Linked DNA regions of Macaca fascicularis. The protein of the gene in region 1 purifies or fractionates together with the protein of each later gene. This does not show direct contact. Links are inferred from orthologs where the notes say so. Each region holds a gene or a part of one and is shown in the gene's direction. Other genes may lie near its edges. The genes, in order: PLD1 and ARF1.

Region 1 (9,125 bases):
TAAAATTATAAAAGTTATGTCAACATTATCCCATTACTGGGTATATACCCAAAGGATTATAAATCATGCTACTATAAAGACACATGCACACATATGTTTATTGTGGCACTATTCACAATAGCAAAGACTTGGAACCAACCCAAATGTCCATTAATGATAGACTGGATTAAGAAAACATGGCACATATACACCATGGAATACTATGCAGCCATAAAAAAGGATGAGTTCATGTCCTTTGTAGTGACATGGATGAAGCTGGAAACCGTCATTCTGAGCAAACTATCACAAGGACAGAAAACCAAACACCGCATGTTCTCACTCATAGGTGGGAATTAAACAATGAGAACACTTGGACATAGGGCAGGGAAGATCACACACTGGGGCCTTTGGGTGGGTAGGAGGCTGGGGGAGGGATAGCATTAGGAGAAATGCCTAATGTAAATGACAAGTTAATGGGTGCAGCAAACCAACACGCACATGTATACATATGTAACAAATCTGCACGTTGTGCACACGTACCCTAGAACTTAAAGTATAATAATAAAAAAAAAGAAAAAAGTTATGGAAACATTGAAAATACAGAAATATTTCAAATAAGTCATTAGATGGGGGAGTTGGATCCTTTTGGGCTTGTTGGATATGAAAAAGCTTCACAGGGACTGGCTATGGGTAACTGAGAAGACGTATCTCTGGTATTGCAGGGGGAGCTGTAGGCGTCAGTGTGGGGCCTTTATAGTCACATGGCAGACAGCTCACAAGTTACCGTTGCTGGAAAAAATGCTGAAACATACAAATGAGCTGAAATGAGGATACAGAAACACAATGCTCTGCACATCTTGGCAATATCTGCTGTGCTGTTGTGTTCCTCATTCTCTCTTGAGACTTTTGGTCTTAGCCACTGTCATTTTTTCACAAAAAAATTGAGCCTCACTAACGACACCGTTCTGATCTTTCAGTGAGTCACTATTATGGTGGTTGAAGTGATTTATGTCATCCGGTGACTGGGAATACAACATCTTGCTCTATACTCTGTGTCTCCAGAGAAACATGTGCATTGGTTAATTAACGTTAGCAATTAGATGCTTGTGAATGAATGAATGAAATGAATGATTGCTAATCCACAGACTGTCAGGTGGACTGAAGGGCACAGAAGTCATACAGATTATGTCAGTGAGGATTATTGCGGACAAATAATGAATGCAGACTTGCTATCTGAAAGAAAAGGGCACCAGGGCCTTACAGAATCAAGACAAAGTGAAAGAACAGCAGGAGTGAAGGAAACAACAAAAAGATAAAAGAAGAAGAAAAAAAAAAAGACCCACAAAACCTAGGAAGTAAAAGTTTCCTAGGTTTTACTGGTCAGGGTAAAGCTGCTGCTGGGACTGCTTCTGTCTCTGTTCAATAAGCTCAACCCCAAAGATCACTGGCTCCCTCATCCCTTGAGATTCAGTCCACCAGGCCTATAGGGTAAATGGAATGGTGGTGGGAATATGGAAGAAGGATCTGATCTTCACTTTTGAGGTTACTGCTTGAAATTGCTCTCTTGCCAGGACTATGCCTATTTGGGGAGAGGTAATTTTCTACAAGAAAATGGAACTGTCAGAAAAGATGACCGATGTTGGTATCCCAAAATGACCCAGATGATCTGGATGGCAGTGTTTGTATAAAATGTACCACAAGGGAAAATCTGGGGGAGCACCATTAGTATGTAACTATTATAAAATAGTTCTGTTTCTGTTGAAAGCATTATTACAAATTAACAAGAAACTAATTTGCCATAGAAAAAGAACAGACAATGGACATGAATAGATCATTTTCAGTAAATGGCACAAATAATAACATGAAAAAATAGTGTTTAGCATTACTGACTATAAACAAGTTGATTAAAACAAGATATGATTTTGATTCATGACATTTTCAGGTTACAAGCAAGGCAACATTTAATACTGGAAGGTAATTTTGCAGCCTCACACAGCACCTTTAAAAAATGCTGATCCAGTATTTCTACTTTTAGGAATCTATCCTAAGAATGTAGAGATCTTGACAAAGATGATGCAACGTAGTGTTCATTCCAGCATGATCTGTAAACTGCAATAAAGTCTGAAAATATCCTAAAACATTTGATAAGTGATTGTAATAGTCTTCAACCATAGAAATGATACCTTAGAGAAAATTTAGTGACAGTAAATAATACTCCATTTATAAATACTTAGTGAGATAAGGAAGATTCTAAATTCCGTACAGCACGGTTTTAATTTTATAACAAACCTTTAGGCATAGAAAACATAAGGAAATATACTAAATGCTAATAGAGAGTGTGTGGGGGAGTTATAGGTGATTTTAATTAAAAATGTTTTTCTGTGGTCTCTAAAACATAGATGTCCTTTTTTTCTAAAATATAGATGTCAAAATTATAAAAATGAACATATATTGTTTTTATTCTCAGAAGAAAATATAACAACAGGATTTCAAATACCACTTTGACAAAAATGTCAAATGCATATTGAGATGAATGTATAGCATGATTACTTAGTCATCGTTTCTTGACATATTTGAAGATACGAAAGATTTGGAAGAAAAATCACAAAATCTCTCAGTAAAATAAAAATAATTACATACAAAATTATACTACTTCTAAAACTTATGTTTGGGAGTCCATAAGCTTAAGTTCATCTCTAAACAACATATGGCATTTCCTCTTTTATTCCTCTATCCCAGGGAGGCAGAAATTCAGTTACTGTAAGGGCACTTAGATAATTTTCTTTCTTTCTTTCTTTCTTTCTTTTTTTTTTTGAGACAGAGTCTTGCTGTGTCACCCAGGCTGGAATGCAGAGGCACGATCTCAGCTCACAGCAACGTCCTCCTCCCAGGTTCAAGTGATCCTCCTGCCTCAGCCTCCCTAGTAGCTTCGATTACAGGCACCCGCCTCCACCTCCGGTTAATTTTTGTATTTTTAGTAGAGCTGGGGTTTGGCCATGTTGCCCAGACTGTTCTTGAGCTCCTGACCTCAGGTAATCAACCCACCTCGGCCTCTCAAAGTGCTGGGATTACAGGCGTGAGCCACTGCGCTTGGCCTAGATAATTTTATTTCTAATTAGATTTAGTAGAAAGACCTATTGTTGGAGGCAAGTGCCAAATGTTTTCATAGTGACACTTAAGAATTTGGGATGCAATTTTATAGGCTGCTGCTTCTCAACCAAAAGCATTATAATTTCTAAAGACAAGCTTGTAAGAATGCAGTTACGTGTGTACACAAGACTTATCAGACCATCTGTGACTAATAAAGCTTGAGAAAGAGGGGAGGAGAGAGGGTATTCTGCCTTCCAGTAACATGCTTGTCTGAAACTTGCTAAACTCCTCTTAGGCAATACTCTGCTCAGAGAGCCATGTGTTTAATTGTAAAAACCTGTCAGTATCATAGGATTCAAAAGACATCAATCATTTATGTCAACAAGGAAAGAGTGAGGGCTGTATGACTCTTCTATCATTAGGAAAAGATGTGCTCAAGAGACAAAAACGTGGTCTAAGGAGGGCTGAGCAACTGTAGGTTACAGGAAAACTGAGTTCCAGACTATAATTTGGCCCCCCTCCCCTAATTTGGACTGGTATATTATATTTTTCATTTCATGTAATGCCATGTGTGCAGTAAGACATTATGTAACTTGGCCAGTCTCGGTGTGTAATATCCACTAAATGCTTTAAAGTGGCTGAGGTTATTAGCAGTTTGGTGCATGGGGAGGCCATTGCTTCCCTTGGCTTTGGCGGGATGCAATATTGTGTAATGAGGTTGGAACTGGCCTATATTCAAAATTACATTCCCAAAGGGCTGCTTATTCAAGCCACATGACAACTGGTTCTCTTTTTCTTAAGACTTCATTCTAAGTGGACTAAAAACAGCAAAATTGCCATGTTTGAACAGTTCCATAGGTAGACTGGGTCTTTTCCTTGTTTTGCTCCCAATTTATTATTTTATACTAAGATTTCTGAACTACACCCAGTTTTAGAGACATCGGGACACAAATTCCCGTCCCCCTCCATCTAAGCTGTGTGACCTCAGGCTGGTTACTTCATGATTCTGAGCCTTCATTTCCTTACCTGTAAGTTGGCGTTAACACTTCCCTAAGGAGGTGTAAGTCTTATAAAGACGCCAGCAAAGCTCCAGTCTCTTAATTATGTCGCCTCAGGCAATTTATTTAGCCGTTTGATTTGCGGATTCCTTACTTACAAGTTGGACCAGTTGTGGCTACTATCCGCAGTAGTCGAGGAATAGGTATGATAGGCAAAGCTCCGGCAACGGTGGCTGGCCCTTGGCGGCTCAAGAGGACCTGATAATGGTCCTGCTAGCGAGCATGCCCTAGTGTAATGCGGTCGAGTCATGAAACTTTGGGAAAAGAGAGAACAAGGAAAGCGGGCGATCAGAGGCCCAGCCGCGAGACCCGCCCCGCTGGGGCCGCCAGCCTGCACCGCGACGCCCCAGGACCCGGCACCGCCTCGCTCCACCCCTGCGAATCCGGGGCGAATCCGGGCGGAGAGTTCCTGGCGGCCGCGCAGCGCAGAGCACCCTCCCGCCCGCCTCCCTCCGGTTGAGCTCCAGCTGTGCCAGAGGCACGCGGGCCTGGAGAGTCCGCAGCCAACGCGCAGGTGCTAGCGGCCCCTTCGCCCTGCAGGTAGGAGCCGCGCCGAGACCCGCATCACCCGGCGCCTGTGGGAGCCGGGTTTCCCCTGCCTTCGCCTTCAGTCCCTTCTGGCTCCCAACCCGGTCAACTGGCCGCTCCCCGCCCAACTTGGACGGGACTTCAGTGAGTGAGTCGGCAGCGGACTCCCCAGCGATCCCCAAGGGCCTCCCTTGCACGGCTTCGGGTGGAATTCCTGCAGGGTGAAAGCTGACCACTCAGGCACGCACTTTTGCAGCGCGGGCGGCTGCCTGGAGCGCAGAGCCGCGCAGGCTCCAGGCTGAAGCCCGGGCGTCCTCTGCAGGATGCACCGCCCCGCCGGCGCGGGGCTTCGGGTGCAGTGTGTGTGGTGTCCCCAGGTCATCCGGGCGCCCTTGGTTCGGAGGCGCGGTGGCATGACTGGGCTGGTGGGGGCGATGGGACCAGCATCCCGTACCAACCAGGAAGTGCCGCGTCCCAAAGCTTCGAGCCCAGCCCTCAGAGCACGGTCCCGGGGGTGTGGTCACAGCCGCGGGTGTCCGCGCCTCCAGCCATGTGATGTGACCACTCGGAGGCGGGGCGGGGGGCCCGGGGGCGAGCAGCAGGGCGTGTGTAAAGGGTCTTGTTCGTCACAGTACGATTCAAGGTATTTGGGACCTAGGGCTCAGATCCAGGAGTGCGGTCCTCCAAGCCTTCCAAAGGATTTTGTGACGCCCTTGAGAACCGCCCTTGTAGACTCAGTCCTGAACTACCGCCACGCCTGTGTTTGCTCCTCCTCATCTGGGATTATTGCCTTCTTTACTTCCTCTGTGAAGCACTAAATACGAGTAGCTTTTTAAGAACAGACCACAACAGTTTCTTCGTTTGACTATCACTAAGTCTGTCTCCAGAATGGGGAGCTCCGTTAACTTTATCAGCCAGCCCTGCCAATTTTAGTTAAGATAAGCCTTTGTGGGCCTCCAAAGACCTCTGAGAGACTAGGTACCCAGAGACCTCTGAGGTATGTTAAATGGTTTAATTCGTGGTGTTGCAATTAAAACTTAAAGAAGGAAAGGAATCTGCCATTTGAACTGTTAACAGACACCACATTTATACACTGCCTATTTGAATAAGAATCTCTTTCGATATTAAATGTTTTGTGACACACAAGTGAATTTGTACACAGTCTTTTAGCTTGAATTTGTAGACAGCCTTTAAATGTTGTTTGGGGATCTTTGGACTAATTGTATAAGCGCCCAGTCTGGCTTCTCAAGAACCAGTACAGTTAACAATCCATATAAAAAGTTGGAATGCTGCCTGGGCGCGGTGACTCACGCCTGTAATCCCAGCACTTTGGGAGGCTGAGGTGGGCGGATCACCTGAGGTTAGGAGTTCGAGACCAGCGTGGCCAACATGGTGAAACCCCGCCTCTACTAAAAATACAAAAATTAGCCGGGCGTGGTGGCACACACCTATAATCCCAGCTACTCGGGAGGCTGAGGCAGGAGAATCGCTTGAACCCGGGAGGCGGAGGTTGTAGTGAGCCGAGATCATGCCATTGTACTCCAGCCTGGCTGAAAGGGCGAGAGTCTGTCTCAAAAAAAAAAAAAAAAAAAAAAAAAAAAAAAAAAAAAAGAATACTAAGGCTTTGAGGAAAAAATGTCTTTACAATGTTTGTTCCTGATGACAGAATAATTATGAACTATAGTAAGTGCTGTACAACGCTCATTTAGGTTTGTAGACTTACTTATAACTAGGTGGTGGGGAACCGTGCTTCTTGAAAGTTGTATGATTACTTAGTGTTTCTTAATTAAAAACATAGTTACAAATTTTATTTACCTTTAACTCTTACATGGTTTTAAATTTATTTTTGTTCCGAAGGAAAAGTAGGACTGTCATTTTTAAAAAAAAAAATTTCCAATTTTATTTTAGATACGGGGATACATGTGCAGGTTTGTTACACGGACATGTAGCATGAAGCTGAGGTTGAGGGTACAACTGATCCCATCACCCAGGTAGTGAGCATAGTACCTGATAATTTTTTAACTTTTGCTCTCCTTCCTCCCTCCCACCTCTAGTGGTTCCTAGCGTCTATTGTTGCCATCTCTATATCCATAAGTGCCCAATGTTTACCATATATATATATATATATATATTTATTTATTTATTTATTTATTTTGAGACAGAGTCTCACTCTATCTCCCAGGCTGGAGTGCAGTGGCACGATCTCGGCTCACTTCAAGCTCCGCCTCCCGGGTTCACACCGTTCTCCTGCCTCAGCCTCCCCAGCAGCTGTAGTACCTTCCACTTATTAGTGAAAACATGCGATGTTTGATTTTCTGTTCCTGCCTTAATATGCTTAGGATAATGCCCTCTATCCGCATCCATGTTGCTACAAAGGACATGATTGTGTTATTTTTTATTGTTGCATGGTATTCTATGATGCATATGGACCACATTTTCTCTTATCCCGTCCGCAGTTGATGGGCATCTAGGTTGACTCCATTTGCTATTGTGAATAGCGCTGTGGTGAACATATGAATGTGTGTGTGTTTTTGGTAGAACAACTTATTTTCTTTTGGATATATACGCAGTAATGGGCTGCGGGGTTGAATGGTAGTTCTGTTTTGAGTTCTTTGAGAAATCTGCACCTGCTTTCCACAGTGGCTGAAATAATTTACGTTCCAACCAACAGTATATAAATGTTCTCTTACAGGATTTTTTTTAAAAAATTTTCTTTTAATTTCACTTTTGTTGTAGTAAAAGATGCACAACATAAAATTTACCATTTTAGCCATTTTTCAGTGTGCATGTAGTGGCATTAAATACGTTCACATTATTGTGCTACTGTCACCACCATCCATCCACAAGACTCTTCATCTTTCTTACAGGGTTTTAATAACATTTTAATGATAATGGTTGTGTTGCAGGCTTTAGTTTTATCACTAAGCAAGGTTTGAGTTCCTTCTCGTAGCTTTAGAGAAATGCACCTTTTAAACTTTTTTTTTTCTGAGGCAGGGTCTCACTCTGTTGCCCAGGTTGGAGTGTAGTGGCACAACAGTCTTGACCTCCCAGGCTCAAGTGATACTCCCATCTCAGTTTCTGAGTAGCTGGAACTATAGGTGTGCATCACCACCCTTGGCCAGTTTTGTTTGTTTGTTTGTTTTTGTAGAGATGAGGTCTCACTGTGTTGCTAAGGCTGGTCTTGAATAACTGGGCTCCAGCAATCCTCCCATTTCGGCTTCCCAAAGTGCTGGATTACAGGCATGAGCTACCATACCCAGCCAAGAAATGCACTTTTAAAAGAGAAAAGGTAAAAAGCCATAAACAGACTGTTTAACAAATCTTATCTACAGCCGGAAAGGCCTAATACGTTACTGTTTGAAAATAAACTTGTGATGTATTTAAACTTTTATCTAAGGGTATTGTGGGGTTTAGCTATCAAGAGGAAGGAACACGTAAGGCAGTTACTGTTATTGATCATTTCCTCTCCTGAGTATCTATCAGAAAAATGGCAATTGTCAGTGTTGTTGTCTTTAGCAGTGCAATAGTACCTATCTAAATTATGCTTGAACTCAGGTAATGTTGCCTTCTTAGTAACTAAAGGCAATGTTGATCAAACTTGAAACTACATGTAGCAATTTCCTGTCCATCCCAGGTGTTTACTAAAGATTGATACTACGGGACCCAACACATAAGATATGTCTCTTTAAACTTGTAGTTAGGCTGAGTCATTGTGTTCACAAGAAAAGCTGTAACTTTGCAAGGTCTGGTTTTATGTTTACAATCCTTTAAGTCTGAGCACCACAAAATAAAATGTATTTGCTGGGGGGGTGCGGTTAAAAGTTGTCGCAGGGTTAAAACGAGAAACATGTAAACCTAACTTTCCCATAGGCCTGTGACATTTCTGGTTACAAAGAGAATCATACAAATCACATCTTATGCTTCAGTGGGAACACATTCCAGTGTGTTAGTTTCCCTAAATTCACACTACAGTGTAAAATCTGGACCCCAGCTGTTTTAGTGCTGGGTTATTAAGCAAAAGTGTATGTTATATAAGTGTTTCATAGTATCACAGGTTTTTTTCCTATTGCAAAACTTTCTTAATTTTTAAATTTATTGAGCAAACATTACAGCGGCAGAATAAAATCAATTATTTATTTAATAAACACTTACATGGTGTTTACTTTGTGCCTTGCACTTGTCTAAGCATTTTACAAACATGAATACATTTAACCCTCAAACAACCCTGTAAAGTAGGTAATCTTATTATGGCCATTTTATTTATTTATTTATGTTTGTTTTACTGTATTTTATTTTGTAGAGATGGGGTCTTGCTATGTTGCCCAGGCTAGTTTCAAACTTCTGGGTTCAAATGGTCCTCCTATCTTGGCCTCGAAAAGTGCTGGGATTCACAGGTATGAGCTACTGTGCCTGGCCTATGCCCATTTTATAGATGAGGCAGTTTGAGGCATAGTGAGATCCCACAACTAG
Region 2 (9,044 bases), on another chromosome or scaffold:
ATGCAACAGCTCTGAGATGAAAAGTTCTGATATTTCAGCAACAAAAACCACAGGTACTGCTAATACTGCTTTTTGGGAATGCTGCTTGCATTCAAGATGGGAGGAAATGCTAAATGTCACCCAGAGGTTAAGAAGAGCCAAGATGTGCTTTTCTGCAACCCCTCCCCAGGGTGCTCACCTCACTGGCTCCCCATTTGTCCACCTAGGCATGACAAGAGGCTGGAACCAGACAGAAAACAGTCCTTGCCCTGAGAAGCCAGCCTGCCTGGGAAAACAAGGTCCCCCGAGAGCTAGTCCAGAGGAGGGGCATGTGCAGCTCTAGGCTTTCATCTGAGGTTTGGAGGGCTGGCAATGAGATGGGGAAACTGAGGCTGGAGTATTAGGGGAAACAGGTGATGCTTCAAAAGGACCAGAAGTCAGAGGAATATGAGCTAACTCCCTGGAGTTCACGGAACTCAACTGTAATTTCCTAAGCCATTATGTAGTGCAGGCAATCCCCTGGAACCCCCACCACTGGCCACCAGCTTCCCGAATGACCCCAGACCCCAGCCCAGGCTCAGAAGGCAGGGCAGGGCCACCCTGAGCTGGGAGGTGGGGGCCTCTCCCAGGGCCCATGCAGTCAGAACAGCCATAATAATTCCTGTGGCATGCTCCAGGTCCTGTAGTGTGACCAGCCAGAGGGTAGGCTTTGGGTATGGGTCTGGGGGAGAAGGAAACAGGGCCAGGCAGAGGGGACAGCAAGGTCCTATCCCCGCCTCACCCCCCAGAGACGTCTTTAAGGGTATGAATTCTTCCTGCCACAGGTCTTAGCGGTTGAGTGTTTGGACTAAGTCCTGAGCGTGACGAGAAAGTACTGATTCTGGTGGAGGCAGTGCCACCCCGCAGAATGCCCTGGCATCTTGCAGTATGATTCTCCAGCTTTAGCCCATCTATAGTCTCCCAACAGAGAGAGCCGGCAGAGCAACCATGTGGGAGACAGAGTGGGGCAGGAAATCCAGAGAGGAGAACTCTGTCCTGGGATGCCTGGTGTAGTAGTGAGCTGCCCATCACTGGAGGAATCCAAGATAACATTGCAGTCTGCAGAGGCACCAAAGCGCTTGTTCCCCAAGAGGGAGGGCAGGGCTGGGGAAAGACTAAAGGTGTTGGCAATAAGCAGACTTGGGCATGGAGTAGTCAAGCTTCAGAGGGGTTTCATCCTAGCTGGGTGACATCAGGTACATGTGAGACCTCTCTGAACATCTGTGACCTGGCTCAAATGCCGCACACTTCATAGTCCTGCACTCAGAGGTTGACCAAAGTGCCTGCCAGGCCTGAGGTGGGCTGGGGTCCCCTTCACCTAGCCACAATGGCTGCCTACTAGGTCTCCAACATGGGTATTCCCGCTTCTTTGCTCCAGACAGCTCATCTGTCCCTCTAGCCGCATTCCCTAGGAGGCCAGCCCGTTCCGTTGTTTGGCATCCGTGTCTCTGACCTGGTTCTCAGGTGCAGCCACCCCCAGAAGAGAGAAGCCCAGCCCCACCTGAGCTGGCATCTTTGAGACTGACAGCGGAGGCAGCCACAAAGGCTGGAGGGTCCCTGTCCAGCCTGGCCCCCAATGCCCTCCCTCTAGCCAGCTCATCCCACCCCTCTTGGCTAAACCTCATCTGATCCCAGGGACCTCAGAGTAGAGAGAAAGGGATCCCTACTCCCTAGGCAGTGTTGGGAGAGCACCAGGGCCTCAATTTCCCCAGGAAATCACTGCCTGACACTTCTTAGCTCCCTAGTGGGTCTCCTTCCAGGGGCAGAAATCTGGGTGTGACTACCTGGGCTCCCCTGCGCCTGTCTGGCTTGAAGACATCACTTTTGTCCTGGTGGTGGTGGGGAGGCCAAACCAGGAGCACAGAATCAGCGGAAAGGGACTTTTAAAAAAATTATTATTATTTGCAGACAGGGTCTCACTCTGCCACCCAGGCTGGAGTGCAGTGGCAGAGTCCTAGGTCACTGTAACCTTGAACTTCTGGGCCCAAGCGATCCTCCCACCTCAGCCTCCCAAGTAGCTGGAACTACAGGTGTGTGTCACCATACCTGGCTATCTTTGTAAAATTTTTGTAGAGATGGGGTCTCATCATGTTGCCCAGGCTGGGGAAGGTACATTTCTTAACCCTAGGGCTGTGTATACAGAAATCCATTTTATTACTTTTTAAACTGTGCATGTATCTGACATACACTCTTTCCTGTCTGCATTTTTTCACATTTAAAATAAAATATTTTAAAGGGGCCAGGCACGGGGGCTCACACCTGTAATCCCAGCACTTTGGGAGGCCAAGGCGGGTGGATCACCTGAGATCAGGAGTTCGAGACCAGCCATGGCCAACATGGTGAAACCCTGTCTCCACTAAAAATACAAAAATTAGTTGGGCGTAGGGGCAGGCGCCTGCAATCCCAGCTACTTGGGAGGCTGAGGCAGCAGAATTGCTTGAACCCAGGAGGCGGAGATTGCAGTGAGCCAAGATTGTGTCACTGCACTCCAGTATGGGCGACAGAGCAAGATTCCATCTCAAAAAAAGAAAAAAAAAAATAGAGTATTTTAAAGGAAGGGGAAGCAGGCTCTGGTTCCCACACAATCCCCACTCAGTGACACTGGAGCCACCCCTGGCCATGCTCTGCCATCAGAGAACCAAAGCCAGGTCCCTTCAGCCCTAAAGTGGCCATAACCACATGTATCGCCCATGAAATGTCCGAGCATGGCCCAGTTCTGGCTGAGCGGGAGAGGCAGCACAATCAGAAGGCTCCACAGGCATCCACACCCCTCCCTGGGGCTTTCCAAGAGTATCTGAGATGCCTGTAGGGTGGGAGGGAGACATCCTTCCCCTAAACAGACAACCTGCCGCAGCTTCACAGAGGTGAGATTTCAGAGGGGAGCCCCAGGCAGAAAAAGGGACTGAATTTGGGGGCAGGAGGGTCACCACTTCTGGGGTCCTTCGAAGCCCCCGCAGGTGCAGCCCTGGGGGAGAACTCCGACTATCGCAGCCTGCAGTGGCAGTGAGGATGCCCTGCCCAAGGGGCAAGCAAGGTAGGTGATGGCGGCAGCAAAGGGGCGCAGGAGGCCTGGGCCAGGCCCAGTGACCCCACCCCTCAGGCCCTGCCCCCGGGCCTCCCCCTGGACAAATCAGGTTGATTCCCGACCTCCAGAATACCCAGAGAACTGTGCTGCACGGACGCTCTCCCACAAGCCCAATCCCTCACAGCTGCACAAGGGAAGAGGCAAGAAGACCTGAGGGTGGTGGGCAGAGCCAGGCCTCTGTTCCCTTCTGACCAATCCAGGAGGGCTTCCTGGGAGCGGGGTCTCCTCCGCCTCAACTGGATCTCAGCTGAAAGGCCAGCTCATTAGAGACCGCTGTGACCTCCCTTCTGGGCACCACCCCCACAGCCCCGGCCTCCCCCCGGGGTCCCCAGGCCACCTCCTCCTTTGCTTCATCTGTAGCCAACTCCCCGGCATGAGCCCAGGCATGAGCCCGCGCGAGTCACTGCGGCCGCCGGGGCGCCGAGGCCAGTGCGGGGACATAGCAGGCCTCCCTCCTTCGGACCTTCCGCCGAGGCCCCGCGAGTGCCACAGGTTTCCACAGGGCCGGGGCACACGGACCCGCGCAGCCTGGGAGCCAGGGACCCCAATCCCAGCGAAGGGGCGCCTCGCACCCCAGTCCTCACGCGGTCCCCGAGGGCTCGCGGTGACTGCCGGGTCGGGGAGGAGGAGGGTGGCAACCCGGCCCCGCCGCTCCAGTTGCTGCAGCAGCCCCCCGGGCCTCAGTCTCCGAATCTGCCAAACGGGCGTGTGGCAGCCACAAGGTGTCTTTTCGGAAGACTCACAGGCGCAGGCGCAGACGGGTGCGCACCCCTAAGGCGCGCGCGAGCTAGGACCTCGGCCCGGGGCTGGGTGTCCCCGGCCCCGCCCCCTGCAGCCCTTCTGGAGCCAGCGCGTCTGCGTCGCGGGCGCACGGGGGGCGGAGCTCCCGGCGTCTCCGCCTCTTACCCGACGTTCCCCGCGCCCGCAGGCGCTGACGTGGCCGCCGTCAGAGCCGCCATCTTGTGGGAGCGAAACCAACGCCTGGCTCGAAGCAGCAGCTTCTGAGGTGAGGGCGAGGGGCGCGGGTCGGTGTGGGCCGCACACAAGTTGGAGCCGGCGGGGTCTGGGGACTGGCCTCGGGGCGACTTGAGGTTCGCGAAGGGCACCTCGATCCCGGCGGCGGCGGCGGCGACAGGGCCGGGCCGGGGGCGGACGAGGACGGGCCGGGCTGAGGCTGGGGAGTCGGGGCTGGGAGGGCGGGCGGGTCGGTGAGCTCCTCGCGCCCCTCACAGGTTCCCGGAGTCGCCCGCGGCCCCTTGTCCTCCTCTGCCAGTCCCTGCCCCCGCCCGTCGCCCGGAAGTCAGCCGGGACGCCAGGCTCTTCTCCAGGAAACCTGGGCTTCCTGCTTCCCTTACCTCTGCCCCTCACGTTTCCCGAGGCCGCCCGCGCGTGGAGAGTTGGGGTTAGCGGTCTCGGGGGCCGGTGGGGGTTGTGGGGCCTCCTCCACCCGAGTACAGGCTAGCGAGCGGCATCCGGGCGGACCGCTGCCTCGGGGACCGGGAAACTGAGGCTCAGGCGGCCCCAAGACACCGTCAAGGTCACGTAGGTGGTGGGGGCTTGCACCTTCGCCTCCCGACTCCATCCAGTTCGTGTTTCCTCTGAGGAAGGCACTGGGTCAGGGGCGGTGAGAGCGAGCGGGCGGGCAGTGGACAGGGACCCTGCGCCTTTCCCTGTCTGCTGAACGGAATGCGTGGACCTCCGGGGAAGCCCAGAGTGCCTCCCTTCACAACAGTGAGACGCGATTTGGGGTCAGTATGAAGTCTCCGGTGGCTTCCAGAGGGCCGGTCGATGTTCGCTTTAACTCCAGGGTGGTTTCCTTGACGTTGTCGGCAGTAGATAAGAAGGCCTCTTTTGAGCTGGTGAATCTTTAACTTGCCTGCGGAACGACCTGCTCGTAGACTCTAGGCCGCAGAGGCCGGCCCCAGCGCTCTCTCGGGGCACAGCCTGGGTGGTTACGGCTTGTGAGATTGGGTCTGGACAGCCGTGCGCACCTAGAGTGTTAGATAACCATTCCGACGGCACCTCCTGGCGGACTCCCTTTCCGTCCAGGCAGCCAGTTGCTGCTTTGCAGGAATTGAGCAGAAATGCGCTCGGAATCGCGGGCAGAAAAAGAAGGGAGGTCGGAGTCTTTGGATGGTCCCCGAAGTCGCCGCCTAGTTTAGAGCTGTAGAGTTGGTGCCACTGCCCCTATTGGAGTGGGCAGTTGTATTTCTTGTTTCAGAACTAGTGGTCAGCAGTTTTCTCTGCCGCCGGTTGTTGCAAGGCTGGTGGTTCTGTCGTTTTCCGCAGTGTGTTGGGAGGAGTGTGAGATGCCGAGGTGCGGTTGTGTGCGGCCCCTGTGGCCCTCTGCTTTTGCGTTAGCCATTGTCTAACACGTGTGACTGCATGGATGATGTCCTCATTTAATTTGAATTTTCACCAGCACTACCAAGGTAGCCAGAACCATAAGGTCCTGAAATGCCGTACTATTAGCTGGGTCCAAAATTGAGAAGAATTGAGTAGTATAAATGTTAGTATACACATCTGATTGGCCACATTGTTAGAGGTGTGTTGTCCACGTTTTCACATGTTGGTAGACCGGAGAATATCTGTCACTTGTCTTTAGGTGTATCTTGTTGAAAATAAATCCAAATCATTGCAGCAGTAGGAATATGCTGTTGCCTGTCAGGCAGTTTTTCAGATTTGCTAGTTGAAAAAGATTTGAAACAGTTGGTTTGGACAACAGCTGAGTCACAGAATGACTGTGAGTGAAAAGCAAAAACTGGTTCTGTGCCCCTCACAGTTCTGATTTTGTACATCATGTAGTCTAGCTATGCGCTGTACCTCTTGCACAATATGGAGAGGACATTCAGACATCTTCACCTGCTCATCTGCCCCTACAGACTGGACAGGCTTGAAACCATAGCTTCGAAGATGCATTTGGCCTTTCATTTTTCACTTCAGTAAAATTTAATATGGACTGTCAGCTGCTGCAGTGATCATAGAAGTAGACCTAACTAAGAGAAAAAAACCTGTTGTGCAAGTTCACACGCAAAGTATATGACTGTGGTTTCAGAGAGTTGAAGCAGTTTTTTCTAGATTCTTCAAATTAAATGTCTCATTGGTGTATTTAAACCAGCTCTTACTCACAGGCCATGCTCACCAAGCTTTTGTACACACTTCTTCCTGAGCTGTGACCATTCTCTTGAGCAAGAGGCTGCAGCCAGCCTGGGCTGGCAGGCCCATACTGTCTCTCATAGGCATTCTGTCCTCTCCCCCTGACCTTTCACCTCGGTAAACTCAAGAGGGTGAAAGGAAGTAGAGTGCACTGTCAGAGGTAATTGGGAGAGAAACAGGAAAAGGCCTTGCAGTGGGGATCTTAAATTATGAGAACTTGTGTTTTCTGTGTTGTGCCTGCTCCTCATTGGTGTGGTTGGTTGGTAGGGGTATCCTGCCTGTAGCATCTGAAGTGGTCTTTTGGAAAAGGTTTAGCCCCTTCATGTTGGGATTCCAGGATTTGCCCTCATCCTCAGGTTCGTATTTTCCTGTGGTTGTTATAAACTCTTTAAGGCATAGTTGCACTTATCACCTTACAGCTGTGCAGGTGCCCAGCACCGTCTTGGAAGGTAGTTTCACATTCTCAGGTGGGTCAGATGACCTTGTTAGCAACTTGACAGACATGTCCTGGATGTTTTTTGTTCCCAAGAGGCTCTCAGGTCCTCCCCCAGGGTCCTGTCACTCAACCATCTACAGGGATGAGAAGACAGTAAGGCTGGCTGATTAGCCATAATGTCCTTGACTAATCCTGGTTTCCTGGTTCTCACACAGTGGTAACAAGGGCTTGCAGCCGGTTGTCAGCCAACAGACTGGGAAAGGTGGTGCTTCTTACAGGCCCTGATAACAGGAAAAGCCTAAATGACATCAAGAGAAGAGACAGGGAAAGCATAAAAGGCAGATTTTCACAGGCACAGCAATTGGGAATGATTCTGTTTAGAAGGCAGACGTTCTCCCACACCCCGGAGGCCCAGGGCTCACTGTTAGTGTACAGCATGAAGTGAACGGGAGACTTGATTCAGTCCATGAACATTTCAGGAAGTTAGAAGTCTGTAGTTGTGGATTGCAAAATACATATCTGGCCTGCCTCCCATTTCCTGCCATACAACTACTAAAATACTTGGAATCTCCAAAGTGATGATGTCTTTTTGTACCCTAATGAGTTGACCAGTGACGGGCAGCCCCTACGAAACTTCAGGGTAGGGCTAGTCACGGGGCCAAGGTAGGATTAGAGGGTTTCAGCCCCACCCTCCAATTTCCCCAGAGTGGAGAGGGACTGAAGATTGAGCTGGTCACCAGTAGCCAATAATTTAATCAATCACACTAATATCATGAAGCCACACTTTTGCCTTCAGTAGTTAACAGCATCTACAGCCCCGTGTTTCCACATTTGTACAAAGGAATGTTCAGACTGAACCACACTTAAGTACAATTCTGAAATAGCATGAAATTCCTTGTTGATGGGAAATACCCAAAAGGCCTGCCTGGGCTTTCAGAGAGCTTCCAGAAAGCTGAATTCATGGAGGTTCCTGGAGGGTGGCACGCCCAGGAGGGCAAGGTAGCTCCGTGTCTCTTCCCTCATACCCCACCCTATGCATCTCTCCATCTGTATCCTTTGTAATATCCTTTATGAAAAACCAGTAAACTTTAGTGTTTTTCTGAGTTCTGTGAGCCACTCTAGCAAATTAATTGAACCCAAGGGGAAGGAGTTATGGGAACCCTGATTTATAGATGGTTGTCCAGAAGCACAGGTAAAATAACCTGGAGCTTGTGATTGCCTCCAGGTGGACAGTGTCAGGATTGAACTGAATTAAAGGACACCTATCCGGTGTCTGCTGCAGAACGCAGAACTGGTTGCTTACTTGGCATGTGTGGAGAAACCCCTGCTCATGTGGTGTGAGAAGCGACCTGTGTTATAAGAGTGTGTGAGAAACTGAGTTTGGGTTTTCCTGTGTCCTCAAAATAGTGTGTTTTGAAAATCTTCTAGGCAGAATGTATTAAAATAGTTTTTACTCCCTGAAGGGATGCCAGCAAGCTAGAAAGATTCATTTCCAAAGGACTTCCAGTGGTAGCATGGCTAGATATGAGACATCTTTCCATTTGTGTCACACAGCAAGTTATTTTTGCAGTACCATATACACTATACGGGAAACTTTTAAGTATTTTATAGGTTTGATTTAGGTATAAATGGTCAAGAGGACTATTGCTAGATGATATCTAGACTTATCCTGAGGATTGGGAATGCAGGCAGTTAGATGTGCCTGTGCTTCGTATCTTCTGTAGATGGGAATGCAGTTGCTCACTCACTAATCAAATTTATTGATTTATATTTAAAATACTATGAATACATCTGGCAGTTTTGGTGGTGACATATTCCTTAAAATATTTGTATTAACCAGGCACTGTGGCTCACACCTGTGTAGTGCAATCTACTTGGGAGGCTGAGGCAGGAGAGTGGATCACTTGAGCCTAGGAGGTCAAGGTTGCAGTGAGCTGTGATCATATCACTGCACTCCAGCTTGAGTAACAGAGCAAGAATCTTAGCTCTTAAAAAAAAAAAAAAAAAAAAAATGTATACCTACTCACCAGCTGAGGACCTGGGGGCAGGTTTAGAAAACAGATTTTGAACATGCATCCCTCTTGTGGTGTCTGACATCACTGAGCTGCCACACTTTTTTACCTTCAGCATCTTCAACCCCATTTTTCCACATTTTTACAGTCAAATGAATGTTCAGACTAACCCACACGTGAGTACAGTTTTTAAACAGCATGAAATTCCTTGTTGACATGATAGGTTTTTCGTGACAAACTTAATTTTTAGGGAAAGCACATCTGCAGATGTATACAGTTGATCTTCATGAGCCCTAGGGGCCTGATAAACATTCCTTTGCCATTGTTTTCTCCTCTC

Evidence for each region.
Region 2: the proteins of PLD1 (region 1) and ARF1 purify together in Homo sapiens (affinity purification with western blotting; 3 studies listed by BioGRID, with this or other methods). This does not show direct contact. The link is inferred for Macaca fascicularis from reciprocal best matches to the Homo sapiens genes PLD1 and ARF1.

The regions. Positions count from the first base shown.
Region 1 is NC_088376.1:83,279,647-83,288,771, reverse strand, and holds the start of PLD1 (phospholipase D1), read left to right. Parts: upstream 1-4,527; 5' UTR 4,528-4,667; intron 4,668-5,222; exon of another isoform or gene 5,223-5,652; intron 5,653-9,125. UniProt on the Homo sapiens protein: Function as phospholipase selective for phosphatidylcholine. Implicated as a critical step in numerous cellular pathways, including signal transduction, membrane trafficking, and the regulation of mitosis.
Region 2 is NC_088375.1:85,988,952-85,997,995, forward strand, and holds the start of ARF1 (ADP-ribosylation factor 1), read left to right. Parts: upstream 1-4,041; 5' UTR 4,042-4,789; coding exon 4,790-4,851; intron 4,852-9,044. UniProt on the Homo sapiens protein: Small GTPase involved in protein trafficking between different compartments. Modulates vesicle budding and uncoating within the Golgi complex. In its GTP-bound form, triggers the recruitment of coatomer proteins to the Golgi membrane.